4 linked regions of the Arabidopsis thaliana genome follow. The protein of the gene in region 3 interacts with the protein of the main gene of each other region in a pairwise test. Each region holds a gene or a part of one and is shown on either strand. Other genes may lie near its edges. The genes, in order: TCP11, GAI, NIMIN-2 and MYB21.

Region 1 (7,503 bases), on a different chromosome or scaffold from region 3:
ATCAGTCAGATGAATTAATTAAAGATCTCTCTTTCGAGTCCAGAAACATAAATCTCGACAATGACACTTAAGAATCAGATATACCAAATCAAGGAGAGAAACAAAACCTGAAACAATTGTGAAGAATTGGGACTTCTCCGGATGTTCTGCAATGAGACCCAAATGAAGAAATCATCCGCTGACGCAATTTACGGCTGAAATGATGACTCTTCGCCATAGCCTGAGAAGGCCTGAGAAAGAATGAAGAGAGCTGCACAATCTTAGCACCACAAAACCCTAATCCTAAACCAATCGAATTATGATGATTGTGGTCGGACAAATGCTGCAAGACACGTGAGCCTCCGCACAACATGGTTCCGTCTCGTGCTTACAAATCGGACAAGCTCGCTCTCACGGAGAGACTCTTCGCCGGAGCTAAATCACTTTTAAAACCCAGTGGTCAAATTTTATGTTCATAAGCATAAACCTCTGGCTCAGGCAGAGTCTTTGGAATAATATCCAAATTATTTAGCAATAAAAAAAAAGAAACACAAAGACATTGACAAGAGAACATTAACTGAAAACATGAGTAACAACATCTCTTTCATAATTTTCTATGTAAAAGGTAATCAAACAATGCTCGTATATGTTCACAATTGATCTAAGGATCAGTTTACAAAAGGAACACCAGAAGGAACTCTCTGCGCATACTCCACATACTGTCTCCCAAAAAATTGCTTCAAGTAATGCTCCTCATAAGGTATTCTCTCTGCAAAGAACCGCCACACCACAACCGCAAACGCAATCGCTGAAATTGGATTACAGAGCATTACTTGCGTTCCCACAGACCAAATGAGAAACCCGGAGTAACTCGGATGCCTCATGATTTGATACACTCCTTCTGTCACAAGCTTATGATGCTCCTCCCGGCGAATTTTTATAAGGTGTGTGAACGATCTACCTGCTGTGATTATCGCGGTTTTGCGAAGGATTTCTCCAAGTATGATCATTGTAAGACCGAAATTGCTGATCCACCAGTGTTGTTTCAGCCCCGGGAAGAAAACAATCTCGGCTATGTACTCGAGGACTGATATTAGCATTGCTAAAGCATAGTGTTTGCTGATTAAGAGTGAGCTTAAAGTTACTTTCGATGCTCCGTGAATGGCTATGGCGAGAATGTACTCCGATGTGTGGAAGAAGATTATCGCCAGGAACATTTGAGTTAACTGTCTGAACCCGGTGTCACTAAATATCTCTGTCATTGAGTCTTCACAAGATTACTTAGACCTGAAAAAACATGCGAGTAACAGACCCGAGAAGGTCAAAGAACATCATTAGCCAAAAGATGGGAAACAACAAGCATTCAAGTAAAATCCAATCCAACTCACTTCACCAAAGATTTTTTAAAACCAAATCACAGGAACACTAATGTCAATCAATGTAACAAATCTCACATTAATGTTCTTCTAACACTAAACTACAATGTTTCTTAATCCAACAATTGATCTATGACAAGCATTCAAAACACAGTTTTCACATGAGAATTGAAGATCTTACTCAAAGAATTACAAACAGATATGTATAGCTGATGAATAGTACGGGATTTTTTTCTATTCTGTCTATACTTACTAATACTAAAATTTCACGGAATCACAAAATTCTAATCACTAATTTCTTCAATTAGGCTTTTCGTCCTCGTTTTCTGTAACTCAACTGTCAAACCACGAGAAACGAAGAATTGAGCAGGAACCGTAAACGCTACGAAGATCTAAGACATACCCAGTTGAAATTGACGGCTGCTACGAGGGAAAATGCGAGAAAGACTGGAAATTTCGCAGAGGCTGACAGTGAGAATCGCGTGGACTTTGAAGGAGAGAAGCAAAGTCTACACCTTTACCCTTTATTCTTTGCTTGCTATAATCAAGGAATTACTTTTGTAAACACAGAGATCTCTTCTGTTCCGTCTGATCTTCCCCGATAAGAAAAGTCTTGTTTGAATCAAGGAGCTTCCGGTCAAAATCGATGAGAAGAAACGTTGCAGGATCACCGAAATTTCAAGAACCAGACTATTTTAGGGTTACCGGTTCGAGACGGTTTGATCCAATGGTCCCCTATCGGTTTGTTCCGGTTATAACTGATAACGATGAGTTAAATTGAAGTATTTCTTTTGTGTTTGAAGCTTACGATTATACTGCTCTGGATAGTGGATGGGCTTGTTATTAGTTTTAAAAGTTTTTGGTGGAACCTGAATTATCATCCGGACCGGCTCCGTTAACCCGAGTTCAAATTTGTTTCCTTTACTACGAAAGAGTAAATAGTGGGACAACTTCATTAACGAACGAACCATAATAGAATTCATGCTTAAAACTAACGGGACAACTTCAAATTTGTTTCTTTTGCTGTTTCTTTAGTTTTCTAAAGAGACTTGATTGAATGGCAATGATCACTAGTTAAACGACTTCTCTGTTTCGCTAGTAAAAACAGAGCTTTTATAGCGTTTTAGGTACAACAATCAATCAATCTCTCTCTCTTTCTATCACTCTCCGAAACAAATTAACGAGACCAAATATTCTTAAACCCTAAAACCCTAATCAAACAAGCAATAAGCTTAAATTAAGTAAAAAAGGAGCAAAAGAAACCGCAAATTAGAGGTACTTTCTAAACACTTTCGATGACATAAAACATAGGAATTTTTCTATACATTACCAAAAAGACAATACCATTTCTCAACGTGGTTCGTGGTCGTCTTCCCTCCGACCCGACCCGTTAGCTCCACCAGACAAAGAAGCAAGCAAATTGAGATGATGACCCGGAAGATAATTCCCAACTCTAGCTGCTGAAGCCTCACCCATTGCAGCTGCTGCGGCGGCGGAAGCTTGCTGTTGCTGCTGGTGGCGGACGAAGAGTGTAGCTGGTTGCTGCTGCTGCGCAAAAACCATTTCCGGTGGAGCTCCGGTTGCAAAGCTCCAGACTTGTCCGAAATCCGGCCTCGCCGGAACAGCCCAAAACCCACCAGAACCACCACCACCCATTAACGAAGTCCCCATTGTGTGTCCCACTGTTAACCCTCCTCCTCCTCCGCCGCCGGATTCTCCTTCCTCCGCTCTGACGACACGTTTCCCGAGAGTAAACGGAGAAGAAGTGGAGAGAGAAGCAGTGGAGAAACTCGCCGGAGTAGTGCCAGTTCCAGTGGCGGCTATGATAGAAGGCTCAGCTTGACGGAGAAGCCACTCTATGGTTTGACCATCGGACTTGTGACCTAACTCTCTGGTCAATTGAAAAACTCGAGCTGCGCAAATGATTGGCATACGAATCCTTCTTCCTCTTCCGTCAACTTTGCTGTGTCGATCTTTAGACGGTGGTTTCTTAACGGCGTTAAGAGGTCCTTTGTTTGACGTCTGCTCGACTATGATGCCGTTACTCACTGCTCCGTCGTTGTCGGCCATGGAATTAGGATTTCGTTATCACTATCTAACTCTCTCTCGAGGAGAAGAAGAAGAAGAAGAAGAAGAAGGAGGTAATGATTTGAGAGGAAGCTAGGCTGGTGGAGACAGGAAGGAGAGCACATGGCTGGTGGGGTCCCACACAGCTCACTTCTGCTAGGTTTTTTTAATTTGTCCGGACGCGGTTGAAGCTCACGCGCTTGACTCCGGTGTTGACTATAGCGTTGGACCACGGTCGGGCAGGAGAATTTAAGTTTTTAGGTTTAGGAGTTAGTTGGGGTCCCCATTTATATGGTTGCTTGAATTACATTAGCTAATTTACGAGTAATTAGGATTCGTAGAAAATAAGTAGCGTTACAAGAATAATATGAATTCGATTTTGGTTTTTACTAATTCTTATTACTTCTGTGACATGTAACCACAACAATGCTGATTTTTACCTTTATTTCTTATCGATAAAATTTGTTTTAGAATGAAGTAGTATATGTTTTATGCTTTGTAACCACAGTAATCATACACGTTTACCTCATGAGTTTAATGCATTTTATAGGATGTAGGGAAATTAGATTGCAATTAAGACAAAAGCTGTTTCCAGTTTCCACAATAGTTGAAAAGATGAGGAATAAGAGACAATCAATGGTGGTAATTGATTGGTGAGTATACTTTACACCTACACTGATTACGATTCTATTTTGTACGATTTTAATTTATTTATTTTTAGTCATTTATAATTTCACATCTACTAATTTGTGATTGTCTCTTATTTTTTATTTTTTATTTAACTTCTAGGATAAATAAATAGCTCAAATAAAAGAAATGACAATTACGCGCTTTATGACACAGGTTACTAATCTGAGTATAACCCAACCACTGTGACCCCCACACGATATGCGTTCGTGTGTGCAATTTGTATAATCAAAATTCTTATTACCCATTAAGCAATAATAAAACAAATCATTCCATTTGGAGCGTGGCATAATAAAAGTAGCCGTGCCCACCTGGCAGATATGCCGATTTTGATATGTCGTTGCGTCGAGATTTTTTAAATTGTTTCGCGACAATAATTTCTTTCATGATGAATATATAATGCACATTATACTATATTATCGTCTTAATATTTGTTATATGATTGTGAAATCCTTTAACAGAAATAATTGTTATGATGATTGCCGTACCCATACGATACAACCATGAGTGATGTTTAAATGCCTTTTTTTAAAAACTATACCCAAGCCAACTTCTTAAAGTTGTCGATATAATACGTGAAGGTGCTATCAAAAGCGATGAAAAGAATATTTTTGTGCATGCTTAAAGTATGATAGATAGTAAAAACTTGAAACTACGACGCACAGCTGAGGAACCACCAAACTAGAGACTCGTAGAGAAATTTTAGTCACATTTCGTAGCTACTTGCTAGGATTCAATTGAACTAGCTAGTTCTTAAAAGAAAACGTTGCCACAAAAGCTTACATACAAATTGTATGATACAATTGACAATTATTAATGACCGGCGCATGTTAAAAGTTATATTGAGTGATTAACTGGGATTTGAATGATTAGTTGTGGGGTTAGCTGGATAAATGCATAGAAATTTTTAATGATCACCAATTTACCAAAAATGCTTATAGTATATTCTAATCTTTTTATTTTATTTTAAAATAGTAATATGTGTACGAATCATTTGACAATTGTCAAATGTGTTAAACAGCTGGAGCCCATTCTCATCTGCCTTTATTTATTAATGGGAATTTGTATAGAATTATTAGTATGGGGGTTGGTGGACGAAAATACAAGAAAGTGACACTTCTGTCAAAAGAGAATCAACTCGTGTTTCATACAAATATCTTCTTTTCTAGTTTTCTCATTTGGCGATGCCTCTCTAGATTTTCTTAGCTTACTCCACCAATCAGAATAATCCACGTCATCTCGTTTTTTTAAACTGAGAGGATCGCTTTATCTTCTGCCATCTATTTGACTAGCGTGACTAAAAGACGTTCAGAGACCAACTCGCTTTGTAGTTTGTTGTATTTGGTATTTGTTTGATACTAAATTACTAATCATGTGAACTGTGAACGATTCTGACTTTGGTATAACTCAAAATTCTCTAGTGACTTGATTTTTATCAAACGATATACATGCAACGTAAAGATTAACGCAAACAATCGAAACTTTAATCCTAATCACCTGTTTAGAACTCGTTACAAATAACTCATAAAACCAGGTTGTTTTAAGGCTCGCTTGGAATGACATTAAAGAAATGGTAGATCTCTTCACTGTCAACTACTCCGATCTCTGTGGAACAAGCTGAGCAAAAGACCGGGTTAACTTTTTCGCTATCTTCAGAACCAGTTTCTTGCATCTCGGAATCTCTCCTTCTTTTACCAACCTTTAAGGGCATTGTATTCTGTTGCAAAACTGTGTCTGTACCTACTTTGCAATTGACCACAAAGACTGCTCTGTACTGTGTCACATACTGCTCGTGCCTGCAAAAGTTTTACTCAGATTGTCTTAATTTGGTTCCGCAGTTTATAATACTAAAACCAAGTTCAAAGAAGTGCAAAGGGATCAAGTCATAAACAAAACAATATCATCGGATTGAAGAGGAAAGAAAGAAATCCATTGTGATAAAGTCCTTATATTAGTCTATCGCATGAGTGTTGTAATAGCCTAGGCGGTGTGTAGTGGATAGTAGTTGTATCAGCAATCTTTGAGTTAGTTAGCTACAGAGCTAGCAGCTAGAAAAGGTAGTTCTGGATTTACCTATGGGTTTTGGGATTGGGAATTGGACTGAGAGTAGAAATTTTTCTCGTTAATCAAGTCATATAACTGGTTTGGATTCTACCAAGATTGTCATTCCTAACAAAAACCTAGAGCCTGTAACAATTGTCAAGAATCTCATAATCAAGTCAACATTCCAGAATCTAGCAAGTTACTATCAATATATTAGCAAACACATTGGTGAGGATTGAACAATGGAGCCCTAGCAACATTGAGAAAGCAAAGCCTGGATGGGATATAACAATCGTATGAAGATAAAACACCAAGTTCTGATGTTGAGAGAGGAAAATACCTCTGACACTCTAAGCAGACAGTGGTGAAACAAGCTGGACAGCTAAGAAGAGCATCAGAAGTACGACCATCTCTCTTCTTATCCATCCAAAGCTCATCTTTATCATCAATATCTGAATCATAGAACTCCGGTTTGATGGAGTAATCAACTTCCTCGTCATCCGAAACTGTTACAAGGTAGTAGACAAGAAGAAGTTAGGCCTCATCAAATCAATATACAGAAAATAGACATACTTGTCCTTCTGATTCCACATTATTACAAAATAACTTGAAATCTAAACTTGAACACAAGAACACAAATCTCTTGAATACTGAAGAAACAACTTCTCTTTTCGCAATCTATGGCATCAATTAGCTTACGAATAGCAACATCAATTACACCATAAAGATTCAGAAACTTAGCTAAATACTAAATAGCTCAAGGTCTCAATACGATGGATGACAAAAAAAGCAAAAGAGAGATCATATTAACCGAAACCTATGAGAAATCCATGGATGAAGGAACGAAACAACAAAGGGATTGAGTCGAATCGGCCAGCGAGTGAAAGGGTTTGAGCGTATTAAAGGTTTTATTTTACCTGTTTTCTGTGAATTGGTCGGAGAAGCCATGGTTTTAAGATTCGATCTTCACTGCTAGTGTAATATACGACAGCTCTTGGTTAAGCTTAGCTCAGCGTCGAGCTCCGACGGTGCAGTCAAATCGGAGGTTCACCGACGAAGACGATGACAAACTTCGTTTTATATAACTTACAGTGGCTTCTAATTGGGCTTACAAATTGTTCAGATGGAAAGATATATGGGCCTTAAGAAATTAAGAAGCCCATTTCGTAAAAATCAGTATTTAATTTTAGCCTTTAAGGTGTTTTGTTATTTGCAACAAGAAGAAGTTGTCTGTACAACAGAGCATGAAGGGGTTTGAATTTTCCAATAGACTAAATAAAACGTTACCATAGAATTACCAAAAACAAGTTTAAACGGATACCATCGTATCTTCACAATCAATCAAAGAATA
Region 2 (8,573 bases), on a different chromosome or scaffold from region 3:
ACTAAGCATTCATACTCAGGATCTAGTAGATGGTGAACAAATGATTTTTTTTAGCTCTAATTAAAAGAATTAAACCCTATATTTGAAGGAGACAATTATGTATAATGTTACATATACATATATATATATAGCCGTTTTGCTATTTGTAGTGTTGTGGTGAGTTTCGTGTATATAAAGGAAGTGCGACACTTGAGTATTTGCATCAAACAAAACACTTGACACATTTCAAAAGAAAACAATCAATCGAGAAATGGCAATGTCTGGAACATACGTGGCGGAGGTACCGCTTAAGGGATCGGCGGAGAAACACTACAAGAAGTGGAGGAACGAAAACCACGTCTTCCAGGATGCCGTCGGCCACCACATCCAAGGTTGCACTATGCATGACGGTGACTGGGACTCCCACGGCTCCATCAGATCATGGAATATCACATGCGGTCTCTACTTTACCTTCTCTCTTTTTTTGTAGTATTTTGGTAGTTTTAGATTTTTGGTCCATATATTTTTTGGGGCCAAGGAATAAGGTAGATAAGTCCTCTCCCAGATGTTGGTAGCTAGGCCTCGAACCTTCTCAAACTCTCCTCCAAGAGTTTCAAAGTAGGGCTACCGACACCGGGTGTCCACTCTCTTTAATCATGTTTGGTAATACGAGGATTGACGATCGGCTAATTTGGTCTAGCATTGTGTGTGTGTGTGTTTGTATGAAGATGGAAAGCCGGAAGTCTTCAAGGAGAAGAGAGAGATAGACGACGAAAAGATGGCGTTGACGTTGAAAGGGCTAGAGGGTCAAGCGATGGAGAAGTACAAGAAGTATGAGGTTATCTACCAGTTCATTCCCAAGTCGAAGGAAGGCTGCGTCTGCAAAATCACTCTCATATGGGAAAAGCGCAACGAAAACTCCCCCGAACCCATCAACTACATGAAGTTTGTCAAGAGCTTAGTTGCTGACATGGACGACCACGTCCTCAATGGCCAGAACAAAGCTTGAATCCCCTCTATGGTCATCGTCGAATGGTCTTCATCTTTATGTGTGTGTATCTTTTGTGTATCTTTACGTACGTACGTGACTTATCATCCGCCTCTTTCCCCCTTTATACATGTTATGCTAATAATAATGGCGGTCTTGGAAGCCTATGTATCATCTCTGTTTGATGATTACATGTTGTTATGATGTTTTCGTGGTGTAAGTGTGTGTTCGTAATAAAATAGTAATTGTAAGACGTAAAATAGCCCATAATATTAGGATGTATATATATACCCTCAATCGTCATTATCTATCACATAAGTATCTTCACTAAAATAGGTAACCTTTTCAAGAAGCAGATCAATTGACAATTTAATTTTGCTCCAACCTTATCATCTCTTGTATAATTTTTGGATGTGCATTTATGAGAATCTCAATGTGATTTATGCGATCACTCCTTAATTTGTTTGATGATTGGACTCGCAACACTATGAAGTTGGTATAATTATAACGTTTCATCTCAACGAAGTGACTAATTCATCTCAAAGTAGTCTTCATGGAAACAATATGATCCCTACCATGCAGTGCTAATGTTTAATACTAGGTTTCCTTTTCTTTTCATATATCACATTGAGATTCTCATAAATGCATATTCACTATGATCGTCATAATAAACGTCTTATACAAGATCGTAAAAAAATTATTCTCGTTTACCGTAAAGTCTTTTAACTAAAAAAGGGGAATATTGAAATATTCATGCATGTGGGTGTGATAATTAAGAAGTACGAACGATATGACCAAAAAAAGATAACCAAGTAAAGACTGAAATTTAGAAATCTATAACAATCTGCAGCTTTTACAAAGAAAGAATAAACTAAACATAGATACCCTAAATAGATTATTCTAATACGTACTAAAAAACTTATAAAACCTGAACACTCTACATATATTCTTAATTATATTATATACAAAATACTAATATATATTGGATAATCATTAATCCCACATTTTATCATAAACTCGGATCAATCCAATTCCAACATTGATTCATATGTGGGAATATCAATATATGCATAACTAATTTTGATGGACACGTTTCGTATCTAATTGAAGGACAGTTTTCAGTTGTTATATATTCATATTTTATGTAAATTAAAGATACTTCTTAAGTCGATGGTTATAACATAAAAGGGTGCTTGTGTCAAAACAAAACAAAAATAGGTTCAAAGAATCTATAAGTGTGAGGTAATTTGGACATGACGACACATGGGATACACATGTGGAGCATATCACTATGACATCTATGGTCATTAAATAACGCAAAACCCTCTTGCCCGTCTATTTCGCCCTACTTTTCTTGCTTCTTTTTATCCAGTTAATAATCTGTTATGTGTTATCTATTAATAATGACATATTCCAACCAATTCAAACCTTATATTCAAGCGCTTACAAACTATCCTTACGTATACATTTCTTTAACTTTCACTTAAAATAAAACAATTATTTGGTTAAAAGTCACTTAAAATGGTACGGATGGACTAAGCATTTCATATTCAGGATTTAGCAAATGTTAAACGAATGAAATCTTTATCTTATAGTTTAAAAGATATAAACCACCTATAATTAAATCTTTATCGCCATAATTTCGTTTCTTGTTAGTGTTGTGGTGAGTCTTAATTTGTATATAAAGGAAGCGCAACACTTGGGTTTTTCCATCGAATAAAACACTTGACACATTTCAAAAGAAAACAATCAATCAAGAAATGGCGATGTCAGGAAAATACGTGGCGGAAGTACCGCTGAAAGGGTCGGCGGAGAAACACTACAGGCGATGGAGGAGCCAAAACAATCTCTTCCCGGACGCCATCGGCCACCATGTCCAAGGCGTCACCGTCCACGATGGCGACTGGGACTCCCACGGCTCCATCAAATCCTGGAACTACACACTTGGTCCATACTTTACTCTATCTCTTTCTGTGTTTGGTAACACGCGAGGATTGGATGATATCTATATATTCTAATGTGGACTAAAAATGTGTGTGTGTGTATGAAGATGGGAAGCCGGAAGTCATCAAGGAGAAAAGAGAGATAGACGACGAGAAGATGGCGTTGACGTTCAGAGGACTAGAGGGTCATGTGATGGAGAAGTACAAGAAGTATGAGGTTATCTTACAGTTCATTCCCAAGTCGAACGAAGGCTGCGTCTGCAAAGTCACTCTGATATGGGAGAATCGCAACGAAGACTCCCCCGAACCCATCAACTACATGAAGTTTGTCAAGAGCTTAGTTGCTGATATGGATGACCACATCCTCAAGGGCCAGAACAAAGCTTAATAACCCTCCATGGTCATCGTCGTAAATCATCCTCATGCATGTGTCTTTTGTACTTGTCTCGTAAGTGCCTTTATCATCCGCCTTTACATGTTATGCTAATAATAATGGCGGTCTTGTTAAGCAATTGTATTGTATGCTTATGTATACCATCTCTGTCTGTGATGTTATTATGCGTGTTCGTAATAAAATAAGTGTGTTAGTTATACGATTTTGTGTAAGATATAAAGCGGATGTATGTTAGTCATTTAGTCTCATGACTCTCATTATCCATCTCCTAATAAAAATTTCATCAAAATAGATAAAGAAAGTTTTTCACGAGGGGAGAGAGATTGATTAACCAAAATCCAAAATATCCATAATTCTGAAACAAAATCAAACACATACAAAAGTAAATATGCAAATATATTTTTCCGCCTAAAGACTCTCACGTCTCCTCCTCTCCCTTCTATAGAACGTATAAACCCTAGATTTTAGAACCCTCTGTTTTGCCAATTGACCAATTCCCACCTCAAAGTTGCTATCTTTTTTTCTGAACCATTTCTACTTGTTTTGGGATTTTTACTAAGGCCCATTAGCACTTATTCGGCCCATATATGTGGGGTAGCAAAAGTTGACTATAATCAACCATCAAACCGCCCTCGTGCCCTTTTTATACATCACAAAGGATCAAATGTCACAGTCACTCAACTATATAATACCAAAGGGTCACGAGTGAAGTCTAGTCTACTACCACCACTGTCGAATGTTTTTTTATCTCTTAAACAAGTTCGTAAACCAACTTCAATTGCTGTCAAAAAAAAAAAAAAAAAACTTCAGTCTTTTATTTACGAAGAACATCAACATCTCCCATTTTTACATATGTGGAATTATTTATGTGCAGTTGATGTTGAACAATATAATCCGCCTACTCTTTTTTTTTTTTAGGTGACATATATAATCGCCTACTATATCTTTCAGATACATGTATTAAAGGTGGACATTTGTATCTTTTCGGTTTCTTTTGTTTACTTTTCTTCTTTCAAATTAACAAATAAGAAAACTGAAAACGACTTAGCATTGTTAAAATAATCTGGTCCACCTATAATACCATGCACATTAAAAGAGCATATTCATGAGAATCAGCACATTATCATAAGAGACAGTTTAATCAGGCTCATTAGTCATTACAATGAATTTTATAGATGGTGACACTCAAGATGATTTTATTTCAACCAATTGCACATACTTGGTAACACATACTTCTATTTCTGCCTATCCAATTTACCCTCCAATGTCACATGCAAAAAAAAAAAACTCTCCAAAGCGAGATTAAAATTTTTCAATTACCTAATATAATGAAAGATAAGATCTTAACAAGTGACAAAGGGAAAAACAGTAGGATTTAGTTTGGCTTCGGTCGGAAATCTATCATCATAACCGGTTCAACAGATCAATTCATTGAGCCACCATCTAATTGGTGGAGAGTTTCCAAGCCGAGGTGGCTATGAGCGGTCGTGTGTGCCAACCCAACATGAGACAGCCGTCACTCTCCTCCACCCGATAACCCTCACCGCCGTTGAACAGAGCCAAAAGCATACTCGCTTGCTTAAACGCATTCGAACCAATATGTGCAGCCGCAAACCCAGCAGACCCGAACCGGTTCCTCCACTGACTCAACGTTTCATGACGCTCAACTCGGTCAGGTCCATCACAAGCCACAACGTTGCAGATCTGTTTACCCAAGTAAACCTCCGACATGACCTTGTCTTGACCACTCGGTACACCTTCCAACGAGTCAAACAACGTCGAGTAATAATGCAACGACTCAGTAAACCGATCTAAGAAAATCGGACTATTATGGTTCGATTCCTGCTCAACCACAGTGAAAATCTCCGGTTTAATCTGATTCACCACACCAAGAACCTTATCGATCGCACCAGGTCGTCCCAAGAGCTTGTGAAGCTCGAAAACAGAGTTAACCGCAACAGATTCAATCTCACTTGGTCTAAGCTCAAGCATCGAAGCATCAAGATCAGCTAAAGTGTTAGCCACAAATCCTCTGTACTCAAACTCAACGTGAATCGCCTCAGCTAAATGAGCCAGCTTACACCCAACTTCATGAAGATAATCGAAATTATCCGGTGCCGGTGGACCAATTCCGGTTAACCGGAAAACAGGAGGACCACCAGGTCGAAGCGCAAGAGCCTGCATAAGCGCCGGCCATTGAAGACCTTGACTCATAGAGAAATCAATGACATGAACTCTTTTCTTCCCTTGAAAAGCTTCGAGAATCGCTTGATTCGCCGTGAAGTGAGCGAACTTGAGATAAGGACAAGTCTCGTAGAAGTGCATCTGAAGAGTATCGGAGAGAGAGTGGTCGATTGGACTCTGCGACGGAGAGAGACGGTAAATCCGCCGCGCGAGAGCTTCGGCGAAGTAAGTAGCGACTTTTCTCATCGCTCCGATTTGAGAAACGGCTAAGAATCCGATTTGCTTCACCAGAGCTTCCGCTACAGTCAGATTCTCTTTCTGAACAGCTTCAGCGCAAGCCAAAAGCGCGTGAACGAGACGCACACCGTTCTCCTGCGAGTCAACCAGGACAACATGCCGAGTTGACTCAGCCGTCGCTGTAGTGGTTTCCACGACGCCGTTTGAGCATTTCAACCGCTTGTTTGTAGTATACGTATCTCCTCCGCCGCCTTGGTTAGACGAAGAAGCCGAATCGATAGCGAACTGATTGAGAATCGCGTCACCGGGAATAGCTTTAAGATCGTACTCGGCGTTAGACGACGGAGGATTAAGGTCGGTGAGCATAGAATCAAGCCACGTGTAAAGCTCCGCCGGATTATAGTGAACAGTCTCAGTAGCGAGTTGAGAAAGATCGTCTTCTTGAACATTAGACATCATAACTTCAAGCTGCTCGAGTTTCTGAGCAACATCAGCCATTTCGGATGACCTAACCTTGTAACCAAGAACAGCTAGAAGCTCATCCATGCCGTTACCGTCGTCTTCTTCATTCATCATCATAGTCTTCTTATCTTGATGATGATGATGATGATGATCTCTCTTCATGGTTGGTTTTTTTTCAGAGATGGATCTAAAAGGTTTTTCCTTCAATGTCGGATCTAGGTTTTGCTTTATTTGGGAAGGTGAAGAATCTTTAGCTTCGGGGATCGGTTAGGACTGCTTAGGATTTGTTTTTTCACTCCACTACCACTTCTAATAACAAAATAAATTGTAAAAATAGAGAGGAAGGTTATAAGAAAAAAAATGATTATTATTGTTGAGAATAAAAAGGCTCGTGATGGGGCTCGATGTCCGATGAATCATGGATCAGAGGGCTAACAGCAACATCTACAGCTCAAAGAGATAAGGCTGAAAATCACACACACACCAAAATTTGTAATTAGGGAATATATTGAAATTAATAAACTAATATATTAGGGAATATATAGCTTTTTACAGATTAATATTTTCTAAAGTTAGTATTACTTTAGAGTTTAGATGGTCATACAATTTTGAACAACTAAAAAGATTGTCATGCAACTAGTGGTACAATTTACTTTTTGTCGCTTTTTTAAGGAGTTTGTTGTGTTGGTTTTGTGTGATTGTAACTTTTGATCTAAAATACAGATATTTTTTATTAAAAAGTTTAAGTATTTAGTATAGTCTTATTAAATAAAATGGAACTTTTGTATTGGGAAAAGTAAACCATCATTAAACCCATTATGGAAATTAATATTCCATTTTATTAAAAAGAGATTGAGGGACTATGACGTTTTCCCGTTTTAGTTTTAAATTGTTAAAAAATTTAAATTGAATATAAGAAAAAGCTCCTTTTCTAACATTTTTTATAAGATCTTTAAAAAAAAAATTAAACCTTATTAGTATTTATCTGTAAGAGTGGATAAGAACTAGTAACATTTTCATTAATTACAAAAGACTTTTATATTTGTTCTTTGGATGGGGAACTAAAAGCTTTCATCATACTGTTTGAGTGCCCTAGCCTTCCCCTTTGTAATAATGTAGGCATGTTTCGAGCAAGGGGGTAGAAAAGTAAACTGCAGTATATATAAACCCATTTCAAAATAACAGTAATTATCAAATAGTAGCATTCAGTCTTTACACTTAAATAGCATTCACTATTTTGTCAATTACATGTTACGATAGAGTTAAGTTGTAATCGTTTCTTTTTAAAGTATAGTCTCGATTTTTTTTGCTATTTGTAGATAAAATTGGTTAATACAATTGTAGTATGTACTTAACGCCGTCGCTTACGGCAACTATTCTTAAATCATAATAAGATTACACAGATCAGAAAATAACAATTAGTCCCACTAATTAATGTCTTACAAAAATATTCGAAATTATTTTCGTGAAAATCAGAACTGACAACATGTGATTGGGTCCACGTGTAAAACGGGTCCCTTGAACTTACCGTACGCCATTTAGACTGTGGTCCCAAAGATCCCATGTGATTATTACACGTCTCTAAAGTATTTTTATACGCTAGGCCCTGATGAGAATTGAGATGACCATTCCCACCGTTGACGGCTCTTCGTATGGACCATCTCAATTAACGCTGTGCTACATGGTTGGTTACATGTTCTTGTGTTCCACGAATAATTATGCTCCGTTACATCATTTTCTCACAAAAAAAAAAAAACTGTTTATATTTTTAGCCACTTCACAAAAATTTATCAGATGGTATAATGGATCATTTCAATGTATATATACTATTACTTACGGAGTATAGAGTGACGTCGATAGTATTGGATTAAACATGCACCATGTCAATGTGTAATGTGTTACAAATTCGGTAGGTATAATTATTAATTTACTAGCAAAGAGAAAAAGACATCCAAAGTTTTTTACTTTGATTGGTTATCGTCATACTTGATATCAAGTGCTCTCGTTGATTAACCAAAAAAATTAAAGGTGCACTCATTGATTCCTTTATTTATTTTTTATAGTAGTAGAAGCTAACAAATGAAAATGGTGTCACATCATTCGTAATGAATATTTAGTCTGCTTTTTAGTCCAAACATTATTTTTTCTAAAGAAGTAATACAAGTCGTGATATATGTTAATTACATAAACAAGCCAATTTTAAACAAGTAAAATTGGATTACTGAATTCTTGAAATACTAGGCATTTTTGGAACAAAAAAAAAAAGGAAGAATAACTTGGGTTTACAAGATTGTTTGAGTCTTTTTGAAATAGTGAAAAAAGTGTCTCTTAACAAATTTCAATGATAGAGAACCATGCATACGCATCGGCACAAAATAGATGGACC
Region 3 (7,004 bases):
GTTAATAGAAATAAATTGTATATTTTAAATTAATCAAAATACATAAGCAAGAAATATGAGTATTCAGTATTCACTAATTTTAAAATACATAAATTTAAAAGCATTAGGCTAAATTCACCTATCTTACCAAAATCTATCTAATACAATTAATCTGCATGATAACTGGATAATCTGCTAAATCTAACTAGCTACTTAAGAGGTGGTGATCTACGCCTAGAACGTCTAATCATGATTTAGGAGATTTTAAGCGGCTACACATTTACAACATAACATATTATAAATATTATATTATAAATAAAATTCATAGAAAACTATCTCTTAGAAAAATAAAAATATGAAATTATAAACAAAACTTAGATAAAACCATTTATAATTCATAGCAAACAATATATACAAAGCTAAAACTTATAATTTAAATTGATATAGTTGGAAACAAACAATATATACAAAGCTAAAACTTATAATTTAAATTTATATAGTTGGAAACAAACAATATATACAAAGCTAAAACTTATAATTTAAATTTATATAGTTGAAAACTAAAAAATAAACTAAAATAAAACTTATGGAATTTTAGACAGCCAAAACGGTTATTTAGATATCACATAAACGTCTAAAATCTAGATGACGATCAACTAGGGATGTCAGACGGGCGAGCACGCGACCAAATGGGGGGTCCGTGATGGCCCGTGCTTCTTTTCCATAAGTGGTGGTCCGGTCCGCCAACGACCACATGCGACCAATCGAAGCCCATATTCGCCTCGCAATGTCCATTGGTCTAACGGTCTGGCCCGCAATCCTGTTCTGTTCTAGTTGTCTCTGAAACACACTGTGTTGTTCTCGTCTCTGAAACACAGTGTTGTTCTCGTCTCTGAAACCTTCGCTTATGGAGAACTTCTGTTCTATTGCATGCCTTTGAAGACAAGAGACTTTGACCGTAATAAATGGTTATTCCACAAGTTTTGTAATTCTGTGTTATCACCAAACACAAACTGTTCAGTCTACTCCATCGTTAATATCTAGGTTCACCATTGAATCTTCCACCAGCTATAACCAAACAACGACGAAAAAGAGATGTCATAACTATTTAACTACACAAATAGCATCTAAAAATAGCAACAAAAAAAATCAAAAACTAGTCATTACTTAGTACCTATGAAATTGTTTCCAAATGTCTCCAATTAGAACCTTGGATCCTTCAACGATGGTGATACTACCAACACCACCAAGGACGAGATTCTTCAAGGCATTGGAACCAATAGGACCACAATTGAGTAAACAGATACTCGCTTCTTCCAAAGTCCCTTGACTTCACCTCAAAATCCTAATCAATCAACGATTACTTCATAAAATTTCCTCCCAACAAGATTCGTTCGAAGATCGATAGAATAATACAAATGTAGAGTTCGAAGAGACTAACATAGTATACATGAGTTGACGATCGTACTTGGCTTTAGGTTCCATCATTGTTAGAGATGAGAGATCATATGTTCGTAAGTCGTAAACAGAGGAAGAAGAACAAGCGCGTCGTCCACAAGTCCGCAGACATTAATAGATAAACCATGACTAATCCACAATCCAAAGTTCCAAACGCACCCAACCCGCAATGCCCGCTCTTTTTTTGGACTCCCTTATACAGGCCCATACCTACTCTGCAATATTACTAAACGGGCCAGGCAAAGGCCCAATTGATATCTTTACCATCAACACTTTTTTAAAACATTGATTTTAGTAAAATTTATGTTGTTTAGGAACGTCAAACGCTTAAATAGCTTTTGTTTGACTTGTAGTTTTGCAAATATATAACTTCTCTTTTGACGTATAAAATAAAACTGAAGAATCTGAAATTTGGATAACATGTTAATAATCTTCTTTTACCATTTTTTTCAAAAGTATTGTAGTTAAAAAAAAATTGATTATTGTAAGAAGGGGAAAAACATGAAGGACTACAAGTCTACAACGATAAACTAACGCTGTCTGGTTCCGGTTTACAGTTCAGATCCAAACCCAAACCCTGTAACCCGACCCGATTAATCTCATCGAATTCTCCGTCTCGAACGCCGTTACAATCCAACGAGTTTCTCAACCCAAGATTCTGACTCCGTTTCCTCTTCTTAGACGGTAACTCTCCCTCAGCAACACCGCCGTTAACTTTCGCAACCGTTCGTGTCGCCACGTGTACTCTCCGTAATATCTTGAAAAACTCATCCACCTCTTCCTCCGTTACCGTCCGAACAACTTCCGTCGACGGTTTCCCTCTGTTACCGTCAGATTTTCCGTTATCTTCTTCTACGCGTTCTTCTTTCTTCAAAGAGTTGTTCATGTTAGCCAGAAGAAAATGTTAACGGCGTCGTTTAAGCTTAGTCAAGAAAAAATTATTTGCTGATTTTATTTTGCTAAAATTTATAATGAAACTCTTATAGCCGTCGGTGTGGAACTTAGACGGTCGATATTGTCAACAACTAAATAAATTGGACGGTGGAGATTGATGCTAATGACATCATCATGCGATGTTTTAAAGCGTAAGTATCATGACGTCACACTTTATTGACTTTTGGAATAAAGGAAGTCCATGTGTGGAAAAATTGGTATCGGCTATATTTTTAGAGTATATGTAAGAAATAACTTTTGACTTCAAAAGAATACACAAAATAACCTTGGACCAAATAGTATTTGTCGGCTACAGAAATTTTGGCAATAGTTAGTCTATTTTAGCCTTTCTCTTTCTTCTTCCTTCTTTTGTTTCTTTTTCATCTTCTTTACGAGACTTTAGCCATGGAGTTCTCTTTCTCTCTTCATCTTTAACACAATTCATCTTCTTCAGATTCACCATGTCATTTTCTTTTTCTATTTCTCTCTCCCTCTCCTAAAATAATCTTCACCACCTCTCATAAAATATATCATCATATCTCTTTATTTTGTTCACCTACATGTTCTCTCTTTCTTTTTCCATAGAAATCTCTCTATCTCTCATTCTTTATTTTCTCTTTTTACCTGAATTTTCCGTCAATGTCGTTGTGATATAAGAGATTAGATTTGATTTTAAAACAAATGTCTGATTTTAAAATGCATGTATTTTAAGAACAAAACATGTTATTAACACTGATATATTAATATTTGTCATGCTATCCAATAAAAACTCATGAAATAAATAAATATTTGTCATGTTATCCAATAAAAACCCATGTAATATTGTAACAATTCTATATGTTTTTTTAAACTTCGCGATCTATAAGAGAATTGCATGCTTTTTATAAATATTTCGTGCTATTTCTGAGAAACACATTATTTCAGAGAAACATATATATCGTGTATATATATTCTGTATGTATTTTAAAGAATTGCATGATTTTTGTAAATATATCATGCTATTTTAGACAAATACATATAAACTTTATAACTAAAGCCAATGGCATTATTGTAAAAATAAGTAAACACAAGGATATTTTTGTATTTTCTCTTTTTCAGAAAATGTTATTTACCTAACTTTTCTGACACAATGTCATTCTCTCAATTCTTTTCCATTTCATAGTTAGTTTCTAATATTACCCATATTTTTATATACATAGAGATCTATATTTTTATAATTTAACAAAGACCAAAAAAATTTGGCCAAACAACAAATAAATAAGGAAGACTAAGAACTTGTGAATTGTGATCATCGTTAACGTGGGGAAGATTTTCTTGCGATTATTATTCCTAGTCTTATTTATTTATTTATTTCCACTATCAATTTAAAATGACACGTAAATTTGTAATGATTTTTCGAATAATGTAAGCACTAATTGATATTGGTGTTTTAACTTTTAACAAAAGAAAACAAAGATCTACATATGGGCCTAAAGTAAAAGCCTTTTAGTTAAGTACATTATAATTGGGCTTTATATCTTAACAACGTCGAATCAATTGTAGGGCCGACGTGGGCGGCTAAGCTGTTTCCAACTTTCCAACTTCCGACCAGCTCCACTTGTGTCTTTCGCTCTCTCTACACTTATGTTTTTTTTTTTTCAACTCTCTGTTTTGTCTGACGTGTCCACTTACTAATAATTTTTGAAAAAACTTTCCACATATAAAAATTGCTTGATGGTCGTCGTCGATGGCTGCATTATTTATGAATGTATTAGTCCACATGGTGAAATGTCTACATTTTAAACACCACGTGACACTGATAATCCGACACTTGTATGTGTGAAATCAATGTAATGATCCCTTACTCTTTCTTTTTTGTTTTTCTTTCAATAGAACAAAAATATTGCGAATTTATCTAATAATGTTTCTGTAATACTAAAATTATTTTAAAAGTTTTTATTTAATATATTGTTAATTTGTCTAAATTTTGTCACGACCGTTTTTCTTCATGAATAGTCTTTGACGTAGTTGAACATCCATTTTGTATACACTGTTATAAATTTGCACACATTTTGTGTTTCAACAATTTTTAAAAAGTATATATGTAGTGTACAACTTTACTTTATTATTGCTTTACTTTTTTTTTGTCTATTGTCGTTGAAAAATGACATCAAATGAATCTGTTGCCTTCCTTACGTAGGAAACGTTTTGTTGAAATAGTAATAATTAGTAAGGGTCATTGTATATTGGTGGAGAAAATGTTTTTCTTACTTCTGTAATTGCATCGTCTTTTCTTCACGTAGGGTAGGCAATCACATGCATTCAGGCGTGCGTTCACTGTTTTCTTTTTTCTTCTAGCTTTTTGTTTTCCTACTATATTGTTGCAGAAAAATGTTTAGTTTAAACTAAATTAATTATCCAACTCTTTAAAGTGGCAATCTTGTAAATAAAAAGGGGAGTAGGTCTGGACCAATGTGGCAATGCGAGCGATATGTTAAAAAAGCTGTGGAATAAACAAAATTTTGGAAATTAGGAGTTCCTTTCGTTTTATGGAATTGAAAGAAAATGACACTTTCAATATTTTTTTGGTATTTCTTTAGTAAAAAATGTTTTAAATTTTTAATCGATCGAATCGTAATGAACCTTACAAAAAAATCATAAAATTTGAAGTTGATATATAAATTTTAATCTAGAGATGTTAACTTTTTGGATTAATCTGGAAGCGACCTGTTTTAAGTTGTTTCAAAACTATTAGGACCGAAACCAAATAGAATCGAGCAAAAAATGTTAGAAATTTTTATTTTATTTTGTGTTCTTTAGGTTAACCAAATGTTCGTTCATGGTGTAAGATATCAAATAATGGATGAGCTTAACCTCTAAAATACAAGTTTAAATTGATCGGTTCAAATCGGACCGAACTTAAATGATTTTGCAAGTTATTAGAGTGATCATGATCATGTTATGTTACGGAATATTACAGAGTAACTTAACTTAAGCACTGACTTAGTTGACCCAAAAAGAGACCATTGACTTCATGAAATGCTTGAGTGTGGAAAAAATAAAACAGAGTTATTCAAAAACGTTTTGAGTTGTGAATTATTCTCATTAACATTGTATTTATTTGGTGCACAAAAAAAAAAAAAAAAAAAATTGTATTTATTTATACCCACTAAAGATGGGAAGAAGACTTGTAAATTATGATGAAAAGTCCCTCGGTTGGTAGCAACTAGCAAATGTGGGGATGGAACAATCCTCCACGTTCGAAATTGTTCTTCTTTAGCACAATCAAGATACTGCAAAGTAAACTACCTCTAATGTAATTAATTAACCTCACAAATTGTTATGTTAATTAATGGTATTGAATTATACTCGTCGATCTTTTGTAAGATATTTTTGTTGAATGCCGAAAAAATTATCAGAATCTATAATTGATGTTTTTGTTTAAGAGTCAATTTGGGAGAATGAGTTAAATTACTATAGAATACAAGTATACATCACATCAAATAATATGAATAATTCACTAAACAATGAAGGAGTAGTTACTAGTCACTCTCTTTTATTTATTTTTAATTAAAAAACGAATATATATGTTATTGTAGTTTAATACTATTAATAAAATAAAATTCTATTACTTCACTTAGCTAAAAGACCCACAGTGCAGTAACAGTGAGAAGTAAATTTCATGAATAATGTATTACAATACAATAATAACTTGTTCGATACAAAGTATTATTCCTTTCACAAACTAAATTTATTTACCATATATCCATAATATAATTCCAAAAATAGTATGTTTTATTACCATATTGTAAAAGGGAAAAATGTCATTTAAATCATCACTTTACCATTTTCGTTGGTTTAAAACATAAACTCTCGATTTGGTGATTTAAATCCTCAATTTTATGTTGACGTTTAATTTAATCACGAATTCTCGTTAACTAAGCCAATTAAGACACATCGTTAAAAAATTTTCTAATTAAAATTTTTGAGTTTTTCTCTATTTTTCTTCAGAATCTCTTATCTTCTTTGGAATTTCTCTTCTTATTCGAATTCAAAGTAATCTTTCATCTTTAGGTCGATTGACGATACCGGGAAAAAAAATTGTGTCTCAATTGGCTTAGTCAACGAGAATTTGTAATTAAATTGAAAATCAACATCAAATTAAGAATTTAATTCACAAGATCCAAAATTCATACTTTAAACCAACGAAAATGATAAAGTGATAATTTAAAAAACATTTTCCTTATCCCTATTGTAAAACTATTTTCACCAATCTTAACCGAAAAAATGAAATAAAACTGTCCAAAAAAAAAAAACCAAATGCTAATAAAAAACGAATTTAATTTCCCATCTTCGTTTTTTTTCTTTCTTTTAATGCTTTAATAAATTTTTATTGAGATCTGTGTTTGAACAATCGTTTCTTAAAAGATTTTTAACATCTTTTTAAATTCCTCGGTCTCTTAAATTTACCAGTTACATAACTTTCTTTTATTTTTCCGACATAAATTAAAAGTTTTGTCTTTGGTAATAGAGAGGCAGAAAAATCTTGGCCATAGATTTGTCATCTGTTTTCGATTCGTTTTGATTCTTTACTTTATCTTCTTCTTCTTCTTCTTCTTCCTCTTTTTGAATCTTTTATCTTCTCACTTTTCTTT
Region 4 (10,763 bases), 830 kb from region 3:
TAATCGACCAAAGCCAAAAACAAAGTTGATCTAACCGGAACCAAGTGAATTGTAATGGTAAAGGCATGATAGTTTAATTGAATGAATATTGCATGAACCGAAAAATATATTACCCTAGTATAGTGAAATTAAAAACCATATTCACTAAAAAGAATATTTGCTTATGTATCTTTAATGGAAGATCTTCTTTGATTTCAAAGATAGTTACTGCACATGATATAATTTAGTAAGTCGATAGTTATGAAAATCTTCTTAGATATTCGCCGACTTCAACTGTTCAACATTGAATAAAGATTATGTCAAACTCATTGAGACGGGAAGAAAATGGTTTTTGCTATATACAGAAAGTACAGCTAAGGCATGAGGCTATAACAATGAACAAGCAAATACACAAATAAAGAGAATTTAAAAGAAAAAAAACAATTCTTTCACGTTTATTTACATTTCTAAATTATAAACCACTTGTATGTTTGTGACCGACCCGCCATGTGATTTTTCCTTTATTATTCACATGTGAAGTCGACAATTCCCACATGATAAAAACGTTGGCCTAATCAATTAAATAAACATGTGGCCCAATTCCACATCCATTTCGAATTTAAATTTGTAGTTGAGAATCTAAAATAAGCATAATGCGAGTTTTCTACTTTTCTACACCAAGATGTAAAAGAAATATATATAGTGTAGCATGCAATGTGAATATAATAAAGATACTATATACATAACATGGTTGCCAATTTAAAAAAAGTTAATAATAATTGGAATATATATGAATTATTCCTATTCTAGCCAATGCATAGAGAAGAGGAAGTGGAGCTTGGATTTATCCTTTACACATGCTTCATTGGGACAAAATGTGTCGTTGCTTAAAGACTAAAGTTAAAAAGTTCGGTAAAGCTTTTAATGCTTTTGCCGTCTCGCTATAGTGCTTACACTTCCAAACCTAACATCATGTCCCAATTTCCAAATTATTCTACCCAATTTATACATATAATAAATATAAATTACACATTTCTACGAACTTATGTCATATAGTCAATCTATATCATTGCGGCTCAATATATGTACATGTTCCTACCTTATTGAAACTTATTTTTCATCCCATGTTTTAAGTATAAATATTTATGGTTTTGAAGAATATATGGATAGAAATATCAATCAAACTGAACCATTGTTTATTTCTATTCATTTATTAACTAAGATAAGTTGATATCTTCATCTTAAAGGTTGTGGTTTTGATTCGTGGAGTTAGGCTCACGTCGGGTTCTACATGTTGAATGGCGATGCCCAAAAATGGATAAAAATTGTTGAATAAAGGCAACGTGAACTGTACCAAAAACTTTCTATTTTGAGCATCAATGTGATACGTGTCTTATTGCGATTGGTAAGAGTAGGTGCTATATGTTTCATGATGAGTACGTCATGTGATATGTACACACATCGATCCACATGTTACATGTATTATGTATATGTATATACATGCCTAACTCATATGTGTATCAGTGTATGTGTTTGCATATATATATGGATGAACATTGAAGGTGCTTCTCGATTTGATCATACACCTAAAATTATTGCTCTGTTTTAACCTTATTGCTTTGACGTCTTGCTCTGATTTAACCTTCCAGAAAAAGAAAAACTGTATACAAATTATATGATGTGTTTAACTATAAATTCTTATGTAACTATATCAATTGGTTAACGGATAATTGTACTGGTCGAGTATGACATGAGATATATATGCGGATAAAGGCTTTTGTTTAAGATCCGCCGCATACATTATGGTTGTAAAATTAAGAAAAGTGCATCTTACGAGGTTGGTGCAATCATTTGCACTGAATTCAGAGTCACTTAAACTTAAGAGTACTTTACAAATACAATTATTACCTTTTCACAGAAATTAACAAATTCATTAAAGGATCATGTTATAGATTGCACAAAAACAATTTGACCATGTTATAAACTTATTTGTTGCTTTATGAAAATTGATGTTTTGTTAATTTTTATGTATAGCGGATTTATATTTTACCAAACCCATCTTTTGTATAACTTTTAATGTTTTATCGTAATTTAAAAGTATCCAATATAGTAATTATATTATGATTATAATTTGACATTATATTTTGGTATGCTTTATAATATATGTGAAAACCTCTAGCGGAGGGAGTAAATAACAACTTTTATATGATATATACATTAAACTAATCATAGATTCATAGGTCATCAACAAAACAAAACTAAATGATGTTCTCATATATACATGGTACGTACGAACATTCCTAAGAAAAATTACTTCAATAAAACAAAAGATATCCGGAAATATGACCCCTTCAACAATTTTATTTATGTATAACATGGGTTCAATAAAGATCCAAATATGTATCAAGGTTGCATATTAGATAACATTATATATTAATTATAACCCCAAACCTCTACAACGAGGCAAAAACATATACATGTCACGTACTAATAATAGTACTCCTAAAAATCATATATAATACTCAATTAATATTCCATGTTTTGTCCACCGATCAATCAATTACCATTCAATAAATGCATTGATGACCAAATATCATCCATGCCCCAATAGTTTTCACCGGTTTGATCATCAACGGTCATCGGTACTGGATAATCCACGGTTGCCGTCACTGCCGCGGCCGAATAGTTACCATAGTTGAATTCCATATTGGTATGTTGATATGATGTCGGTGTAGGAGAATAAGTCTCCATCGCTTGATCTTGTGTACAAAAGACATTATGGCTCGACGTGCTTGCAGCTTGATCGTTGATCTCTGAGCTATGATGAGATCCAACGGACGATGTTGTTGTTACATCCGATTGCTTGATGTATTTTTGAATTCTTGTCCTCCAGAAATTTTTGATCTCGTTGTCCGTTCTTCCTGGAAGATGTTTGGCGATTTTCGACCACCTAATCATACAATTAAGAGGAAATTGCATTAGTGACATCATTATTTAACTATTAGTGTTAGTTTATTATGATGAGCTAATGATTGTTGTGGGGTAAAGAGATTTAATATGCGAATGCATAGGACCAAAGTTAGTACGTCTAGATGAAGCCAAAACATTAAGGTTTACGTCTATTTCAGTTGTGTCTGTCATGAGCTAGGCTTTTTGGTTTTGTACTATTATTACATGTACAATGTTTGGATCTTTTTCAATTTCTAGATTATTTTTTTCTTTCTTTCTGATAAGCCTTATAAATTATATAATTTATTTGTTGTTAAAACTTAAAAGCGTTACAATTTTTTGTTTGTTTGTTAAAAGTGTTAATAAACGGTACTTCTAAGATTAACTGATAAAAGCTAGATGTCAATTAAACTGTAGAGATTAGGAAAATGAAACTAGTTTAAAACCAACCCAAAAAGAGTAACTTATAAAATAACTGAAAATTTAAATAAAAGAATTATGAAAATACAAATTAAATGAATATTTTTTGGTTCTTCCCTTGATAAAATTTTGACCTTAAATAATAAGAATCAAATTCGTAATTAGTTAATTGCAGATAACATGAAACTATACTATAAAAAAATATATATATATATATATAACTATACTAGTTTAGATGATAAAATATGTAAGTCTATTCGCACTTACTTAAAAACAAAATATACCATTTAATTTGTTGAATTAGAGAATCATGTACCTTGTACTTTGGGCCATATTTTCCAGCTCTATATACATATAAAACAAATAAATATAGAATTCGAATAAAAAACATAGATAAATTAAAGAAAAATATCTTCCAGAAACGTGGGAAATCACTTGAATAAATTTGACACACTTATATACTTCAAAAAAATAAAAATAAAAATATTGGGGAAAAATCTAGCCATGTCGACGCTGACGCATGAGCATGGAGGAGAAATAGGCACGATTTTCAAATGTTATTTTGATAAAACCCACGAGGTTTAATGTGAGTGGCTAAGAAAATTTGACACGTGCACAAAAACTCTTAGCTACGTCTAAGAACAAACTTCGATCAAGCTTATCACAAAGGAAATAAACACTTTTTGCTTTAGTCACCAAATGTCTTGCTTTCTTGTCTTTTCATAGATTTACGTGGCATATTGGCAGCTTCAGAGTATATAAACGATTCAAAGTTGGAAGAATTTGCCTTTGTTTGTCTTTTTCTCTAGTTACACATAGTGTATATGTATGTATATATAATTGTTTATATATATTCTACGACAAGTAAATTAAAACCAACCTGTTTCCCCACTTAGCATGAAGTTCCATGATGATAAGTTGCTCTTCTGGAGTGATGTTTCCCCGTCGTACGTCGGGGCGGAGATAGTTCAGCCACCGGAGCCGGCAACTTTTCCCGGTTCGTTTTAGACCTATATACATTCATATTATCAATCATCACAATCAATATGACTCTTACTACGTGGATATATATTCACATAATTATAATTAGTAGTAGCACATATGACATATGAGTATAAAAATACGTGTATCATTTATTTTTGATGTTTTAAAAAAGTATTTTACATTATTTTACTCTACCACTAGGCCATCATTAAAGCATCATATATCCAAGTATCCAACACATGAAAACGTTTTAATATTTAGATTGATTCTTTAACAAAGAACGAATATAATAGAGCATATATATATACACGTTTAAAAAAAAAATCTAGTTATGAAAATATAATTAATATCTGTGTAGATAGATTTATATATAAAAGAAATGAACGTACGTAAGAAAAAGTATTTTACCTTAACAAAAAAAAAGTCTGCTTTTGTCGTATAGGATATATACCTTTGCATGTTATGACGAAACCCTAGTTCATACACCATATATGTATATAACTATAAATAATTGAATTTGATTTTAAGAAGAAATTAAACGAACCTGCAGATTTGGCGAGAGAATTCCAAACACCATCGCCGTGGTTGGCGATATAGTTGATAAGAATAAGATCTTCTTCCATCGTCCATGGTCCTTTTCTCACTTCTGCTTCTGCTGATGATCCCGAACCTCCACTACTTCCTCCTCCTCTTTTCTCCATTTTTTTTGTTATTATTCTTTATTTACTTTATTATATACGATCAAGTTTTTAAATATATTTTATAGATTTAGAGAGAGAGGAATATAAAAAAAAAAGAGTGAGAGAATAAGAGAGAAAGATGTGGGTGAGTTGATATTGAAGGTTGTGGAAGGTGAGGTACTGCTTTTATAGAGACTAAATTCACCGCGTGATTACTAACCCTTAATTAATCTAAAGTCTTAATTAATTATGTTTTACCTTAATCTTAGAGTGTTAATTAATCATAAAATTAATTTATGTATTAGGGGTTATTTTCATCCTAAACACTACTAATAACACATGCATGGGGACTATCTATGTATATCTCTTCAAACCTAACCAATTATAACAACATGGTTTCATTATTATTTGTTTTGAAAAAGGGTTTTAATAACATGGTTTCATGACTTTCATCCATCCATGTAGATATGTATATTAAAGACTGGAGACTCTTTGATGCATTCATGCATGGATGATGCAAGACATGCATGCAATAACATACATACGCGTGATTTTTGGTTTGTATATATGAATTATCCTCGCACCAACTCATGGTGTTACAATCTTAACCATGGATGATGGAAGTTATATATCAAGATTGTTATTATACATATGTATATCCCTCCTTCTACATATCTTATCTATATAAGATAATTAGCTATAGTGGTCCGTTTTGTTTGTTTCTAAATTTGCATAAACTTTAAAGGTGTAGAGAGGAGGTCTTCTTGGGCTTTTTTACCATCAGATATTTCTCTTTCACAAACAAAAAGACAAAAGAAGGTGGAGTAATTATAAGCTTTCTTGTCCTCTATAAACTGATTTGTTAGAATGAAGCTTAGTGATCATAATTAATTATCTTGTTAGTTTTAGATTAGCAGTCGATTTATTAAACGCTATTTCCTTTATATATGTACTAATAAAAGTTACATAGTGGCACACATAACATTTCTTGTTTCAATTATAAGTTAACTAAATGATTTACATAGTGGCACATATATCAGATTTAATGTTTCAACATGATATTACTAAGTAAACTTACGAAGACAATCAGTTAAATAAATGATTTTTTTGTTTCGCTAGTGGATTGAACGTGGAACATCCTTTCGCACTCAATCTGTAACATACAATTCATATAATTAACTTTTGTAAGTCTCCATATTAGTCTTGATTTAAATTTTATAAAAAAATCAAATTAAGTTTCTGTACACATATTGAATTTAATCGGGTTGCTTACCGGTTTAAGGGATCCTTCTTTTTTTTTTTCCATTCTAATTTTGGACAAAGCCCGGTTTAAGAGATCCAAAGACTTCATAAACAGACTGCTTGCCGTTTCACTTTTTTTTCTCAATCTATTTCTTCCATCGTTACCACACACAAGCCTCGACGTACTAAGTTTTCGGCATGAGACTCCTTGTCGTTTCTTTAGTCAACCATATTGTCCATATATTCAAGTCATAGTTGACGAAAAAAAGATTGGATGGTAATTAAATTGGTAGAATAAATTTGCTATGTACTTCAACAACTCAATGATCTTTATATGCTTTTGTAGTAGGGCATGTCTCATAAAGAAATCGATAAAAGTACATTAGTTTACTACTTTATAGTAATAAATAATGACGCCAAATTAACTTAATTAATTGTAGGTAACTGAACTTATTATACTCTATTAGTAAACAAATTAAGAACATGACAAAGAAAGTACAAATTAAGATGGAGACGCGACGATCTTGACACTCTAAAAAGTTATCTCACTCTAATCCCAACCAAATTCGAAATCCATTATCTTAAAGTGAAAAGTGACTAATTCCTAACCAAAAACACATCCAAAATTAATCAAATGTATGGTCCTTCACACTTCAAGTAGCAAATACTTGCTTTTGTTGCCACATCCCATCTCTTTTCATTTTTAATGCGATAACATGCGTTTATCAAGATTAAAAACAAAAGTCCTGATTAGATAGACTTTGACGTGACCATATATATCTGCCAACATTATTAATTTAGTTTTTCGACAATTCAACATCAGTTTAAGAAATAGGTTTTGAGTTATAAAATTAAAACATATAATTTTTTCATTAAATAATTATGTTAAGCACAAACGCAAAAATCAATATTTGTCTGTTGGTTTTTGGCTTTTACATTACAATTAACGATTTTTTTATACTTAAGATGCTTAGTTTGTTAGTTCAATTGAAAAGAACAAAATAAACGTTTGGGTACGAGTCGAATATGGGTAGACCCAAGGGCCAAGTCCATGGTACCGGACCCGTATACCAAACATCTGAATTGGTGCACTTTTATTTGATAAGTAACTTTAAAAAATAATAATAACTATGTTATCTTTGAGGAGGTGAATGATCTATGGAGCTAATAAGACCATTAGATTTTCATATTTGCAAAATAAAATAAAAATGATATATTTTAGATTTTATAGCAAGGGTTATGAGTGATTGAAAACCTACTCGTTAAAGCATAACTAAATAGTTTCCATATTTGAAAGGGCACATAATTTGGCGTATCATACAAAAGTTTAAGTACACTTAAGCCATTTTTAAGAAACCCCATTATTTGTGGCTACGATTTAATTAAGTGGAAACGACTCTTTTCTTAATTACTTCCCTCTTAAGCGCGTTATATGCACTTCCCTACTGGCTAATGTCAACTCTCAAGTACTAATCATTTTTATTTTCTTGTTACAAAAAATCCATTAACTTCCGAATTAACAAATTTACTACAAGCTTTATGTACACCAAGTAGAAAATTGTAATTGAAAATTCCAGAATTTAAAACTTTGAAAATCACAATTACCAACATATTACAAACTAACATCTTCTGTTAATTTGTTTTTGAAAAGAGAAAATTTAAAATTTCCAAAATTATATTCGTTTTCATATGTGTGAAAATTCTAGTATAAATACTCTATCAAAATGTTCTCTATTATCTAAACTTGAACTCGTGTTTTTAAAGACACTAAAAAAAATCTACTAATACACTAAACGAGTTATGCAGTAATTTTATCTAATATTGGTTGGCTACGCTTTCAAAAATAAAAGATTTTTAGTGTTAACGGAAAAATGTGAATAAATACGTGTGGTGATACAATAGTATTGGGTTTAAAAAACATGACGTAACTTTACAAAAGTTTTTTTTCTTACTACAGTTTCATATTCGGTTTTATCCCACATTGAGTCTACTGTCTACGTGTGGGCAAGCTTATAAAACCTTATTTACTAAGGTTAGACTCACTTTAGTGATCTGCCTGAAGCTTCGATGAAACTTAAAAACCTAGTGTTAAATATATGAATAGTGGTTCCAATTTTGTAATCGAAAAAGAAATTGTAATTGTTTGTCGTACACACTAACTAAGGAAGAAGTCGGTAATAGAATACGCGTAAAGAGGCGCGTGGAGAAGAGGAATCTTCAAAGAAACATAAACTAGAAACGTGGACTCTTCACACCTTCACAATAAGCAAATGTCTAAAAAGGGCAAAAGTGTTTTGCTTTTCTGTTATGTAATGTAATGGAAGATTTAATGGAAGCCTGTAAGTGGAAAAAAAACAAAGCTTATGGAGTTTAATGGCAATGTCAAGTGGCTTAAGCTTCATTTGTATGAGTGGCTATAAGAGTGACAAGCCTAGGATCATCAATTAGATGTGTGTGGGGGACCTTGAGAGAAGGAACAACACACGCATGTGACTATGTGACCCCAACAACTAATTACGTGTGTAATTAATTAATTAAGAGTTCTAAAATATTGTTTCCAAGTTTAAAAGTATTTTTTTTTACCACTTAAGCTTAACGAATCTTATTAAAAACTGAAAGCTTTTATAATATATATAATTAAAAGATATATATATATATATATAGTTCTTCATGTTTTATTATTTTTTCTAAAGCAATTTTTCATATAAAAAAATCTGATTATCAACAGCTGTAAATTGTAGAATAATTGATGTAGAAACTTGTTTGTTCTTAATGCATAAATTAGTATGTAATCTTTTATATCGCAAAAAAAAATCTTTGTGGAGAAACATGTACGACATTCAAAGATTTTAGAGTTTACATTAGGCAAAAAAACATGAAAAAAACACAAGACTGTAATTTGCTGAGATTTACGTATATAACCCTTAATATTACTTCTGAAAAAAAGAAAAGAAAAACCCCTTCAAATTATCTAGGGTGAATTAATTAAATTACTCAAATTTGGAAAATATAGGTATATTATGTTATGAATTGTTGGTGTCTGATCTCGACATGTTAATCCGACTCGAACGGAATTACATATATCACAGTTTAAAAATGATATTAACTCGGATATACTCTTAAAATAGGTTTAGTTCGAGATAACTAAGTTAAACGGTCTATAAAAACCTATAGTCAATAAACCATTACAAAATTTGGATATCAAATTATAACCGGATAATCAAATGTAATTAAGGTATTTAATGCAGAAGATTGAGGAAGAAGAGTATTAAAAGAAAAGGAAGGTGGACGCAGAGGATACCTGCTTCAAAACTTAGAAACTATATGCTACACCTTTACATTCATTCATCAAATCAAGAAAATACTAATTTCTCATTATTTTTGTATATGGATTTTTTAGTGCGAAAGTTTAAATCCTTAAAAGAAATATTTCTCGAGTGATCAAAATTTATATCCACACAAATATATGTTTTGGATTTTAACGTTGCAGTATGAATTTCTAAGAGACACTAACTTTCATCTTTAATATTATAAGCCCGAAACTTAGACACCGAAAGTATGCATTAGTAATTAGATATGATTTATTATTTCTTGAAACAAAATGAAGTATGAGGATGTATCGTTTGTGTTAGACGTGAAAAGATTGACAATTATGTTTTGGTTTGGTACTTAGTTACCTTCATGCCGTTCATGATGTTATTGATGAAGTTGGTATGCACTTCTTGATGTCAGTAAGTATGCATATAGTCAGAAGATTCTTCTTCAGCGCAATATCTTATACAGTTCTATTGAATATCAATCTAAGAGAAATTAAAATTCTGATCTATGCACGTAGCGTTACTACACTAGATGCATGTTTTGATGTTAAATTGTGGTGTTTCTCCCAAGAAGTGTTTAAACCACATTTCTAAACATCGTTGAGACTAGTTTCGACTATTAAAATAAAAACTGAGTTATGTAAGTGCAGAAGAAGCAATAATCAAGTGTACAAAATAAACGAGACAATAAATTTGTTAATGAGGTTTAGTTTTTCCTACTCCCCGAGACCACGTTCAGATTTCGATTTCACTAGAAAAAGAAAGCAAATATAACCTATTTACAAACAGAAGGATAAAATTGATGAAGAGTTGAGAAGTTTATCAAAGAATGTGCAGTGTTTTAAATGCAAAGGATATGGACATGTTCGTTCTGAATGTGCCAATCTACACAAGCATAAAAAAAGGTTATCAATGTCTTCACTAGTGATTCTGAAACTGATTGAGATGAAGAAGAAGATCTGAAGAATTTTGTGGCGTATACAACTTTTGAGTCTGCTTCAGAGTCTACAATAGAGTCTGCATCAGGGTCAACAATAGTGTCTACCACAGGACCTGAAACTGGAAGTGATAATGATCAAAGTGATGATGTTGCTGCAAGTATTAGTGATGAAGAGTTTGCTGAGAATTAGAAAGCCTTATATGAGCATTGTCATAAGGTAGTTGAGGAGAATTCAGTGTTAACTAAGGAGAA

The links.
Region 1: the proteins of NIMIN-2 (region 3) and TCP11 interact in binary tests that used the Arabidopsis thaliana proteins (3 or more experiments, as listed by UniProt).
Region 2: the proteins of NIMIN-2 (region 3) and GAI interact in binary tests that used the Arabidopsis thaliana proteins (3 or more experiments, as listed by UniProt).
Region 4: the proteins of NIMIN-2 (region 3) and MYB21 interact in binary tests that used the Arabidopsis thaliana proteins (3 or more experiments, as listed by UniProt).

Annotation. Positions count from the first base shown.
Region 1 is NC_003076.8:2,676,750-2,684,252, reverse strand, and holds TCP11 (TCP family transcription factor), read right to left. Parts: upstream 3,853-7,503; 5' UTR 3,426-3,852; coding exon 2,706-3,425; 3' UTR 2,260-2,705; downstream 1-2,259. Other genes in the region: AT5G08340 (Nucleotidylyl transferase superfamily protein), read right to left, coding at 108-352; ATSTE14B (Isoprenylcysteine carboxyl methyltransferase (ICMT) family), read right to left, coding at 648-1,241; AT5G08320 (E2F-associated phosphoprotein), read right to left, coding at 5,650-5,905, 6,493-6,658, 7,070-7,100. UniProt on the Arabidopsis thaliana protein: Transcription factor involved in the regulation of the circadian clock. Acts as a repressor of CCA1 by binding to its promoter. No binding to the LHY promoter.
Region 2 is NC_003070.9:5,147,190-5,155,762, reverse strand, and holds GAI (GRAS family transcription factor family protein), read right to left. Parts: upstream 6,782-8,573; 5' UTR 6,350-6,781; coding exon 4,748-6,349; 3' UTR 4,348-4,747; downstream 1-4,347. Other genes in the region: AT1G14940 (Polyketide cyclase/dehydrase and lipid transport superfamily protein), read left to right, coding at 251-437, 708-988; AT1G14930 (Polyketide cyclase/dehydrase and lipid transport superfamily protein), read left to right, coding at 2,728-2,914, 3,018-3,298. UniProt on the Arabidopsis thaliana protein: Transcriptional regulator that acts as a repressor of the gibberellin (GA) signaling pathway. Transcription coactivator of the zinc finger transcription factors GAF1/IDD2 and ENY/IDD1 in regulation of gibberellin homeostasis and signaling.
Region 3 is NC_003074.8:9,468,567-9,475,570, forward strand, and holds NIMIN-2 (NIM1-interacting 2), read right to left. Parts: upstream 2,474-7,004; 5' UTR 2,324-2,473; coding exon 1,955-2,323; 3' UTR 1,791-1,954; downstream 1-1,790. Other genes in the region: AT3G25880 (NAD(P)-binding Rossmann-fold superfamily protein), read right to left, coding at 1,026-1,047, 1,154-1,309, 1,421-1,467.
Region 4 is NC_003074.8:10,301,866-10,312,628, reverse strand, and holds MYB21 (myb domain protein 21), read right to left. Parts: upstream 6,781-10,763; 5' UTR 5,034-6,780; coding exon 4,877-5,033; intron 4,629-4,876; exon of another isoform or gene 4,369-4,628; coding exon of another isoform or gene 4,359-4,368; coding exon 4,229-4,358; exon of another isoform or gene 4,226-4,228; intron 2,930-4,225; coding exon 2,536-2,929; 3' UTR 2,137-2,535; downstream 1-2,136. Other genes in the region: AT3G27809 (uncharacterized protein), read left to right, coding at 4,246-4,345, 4,883-4,929.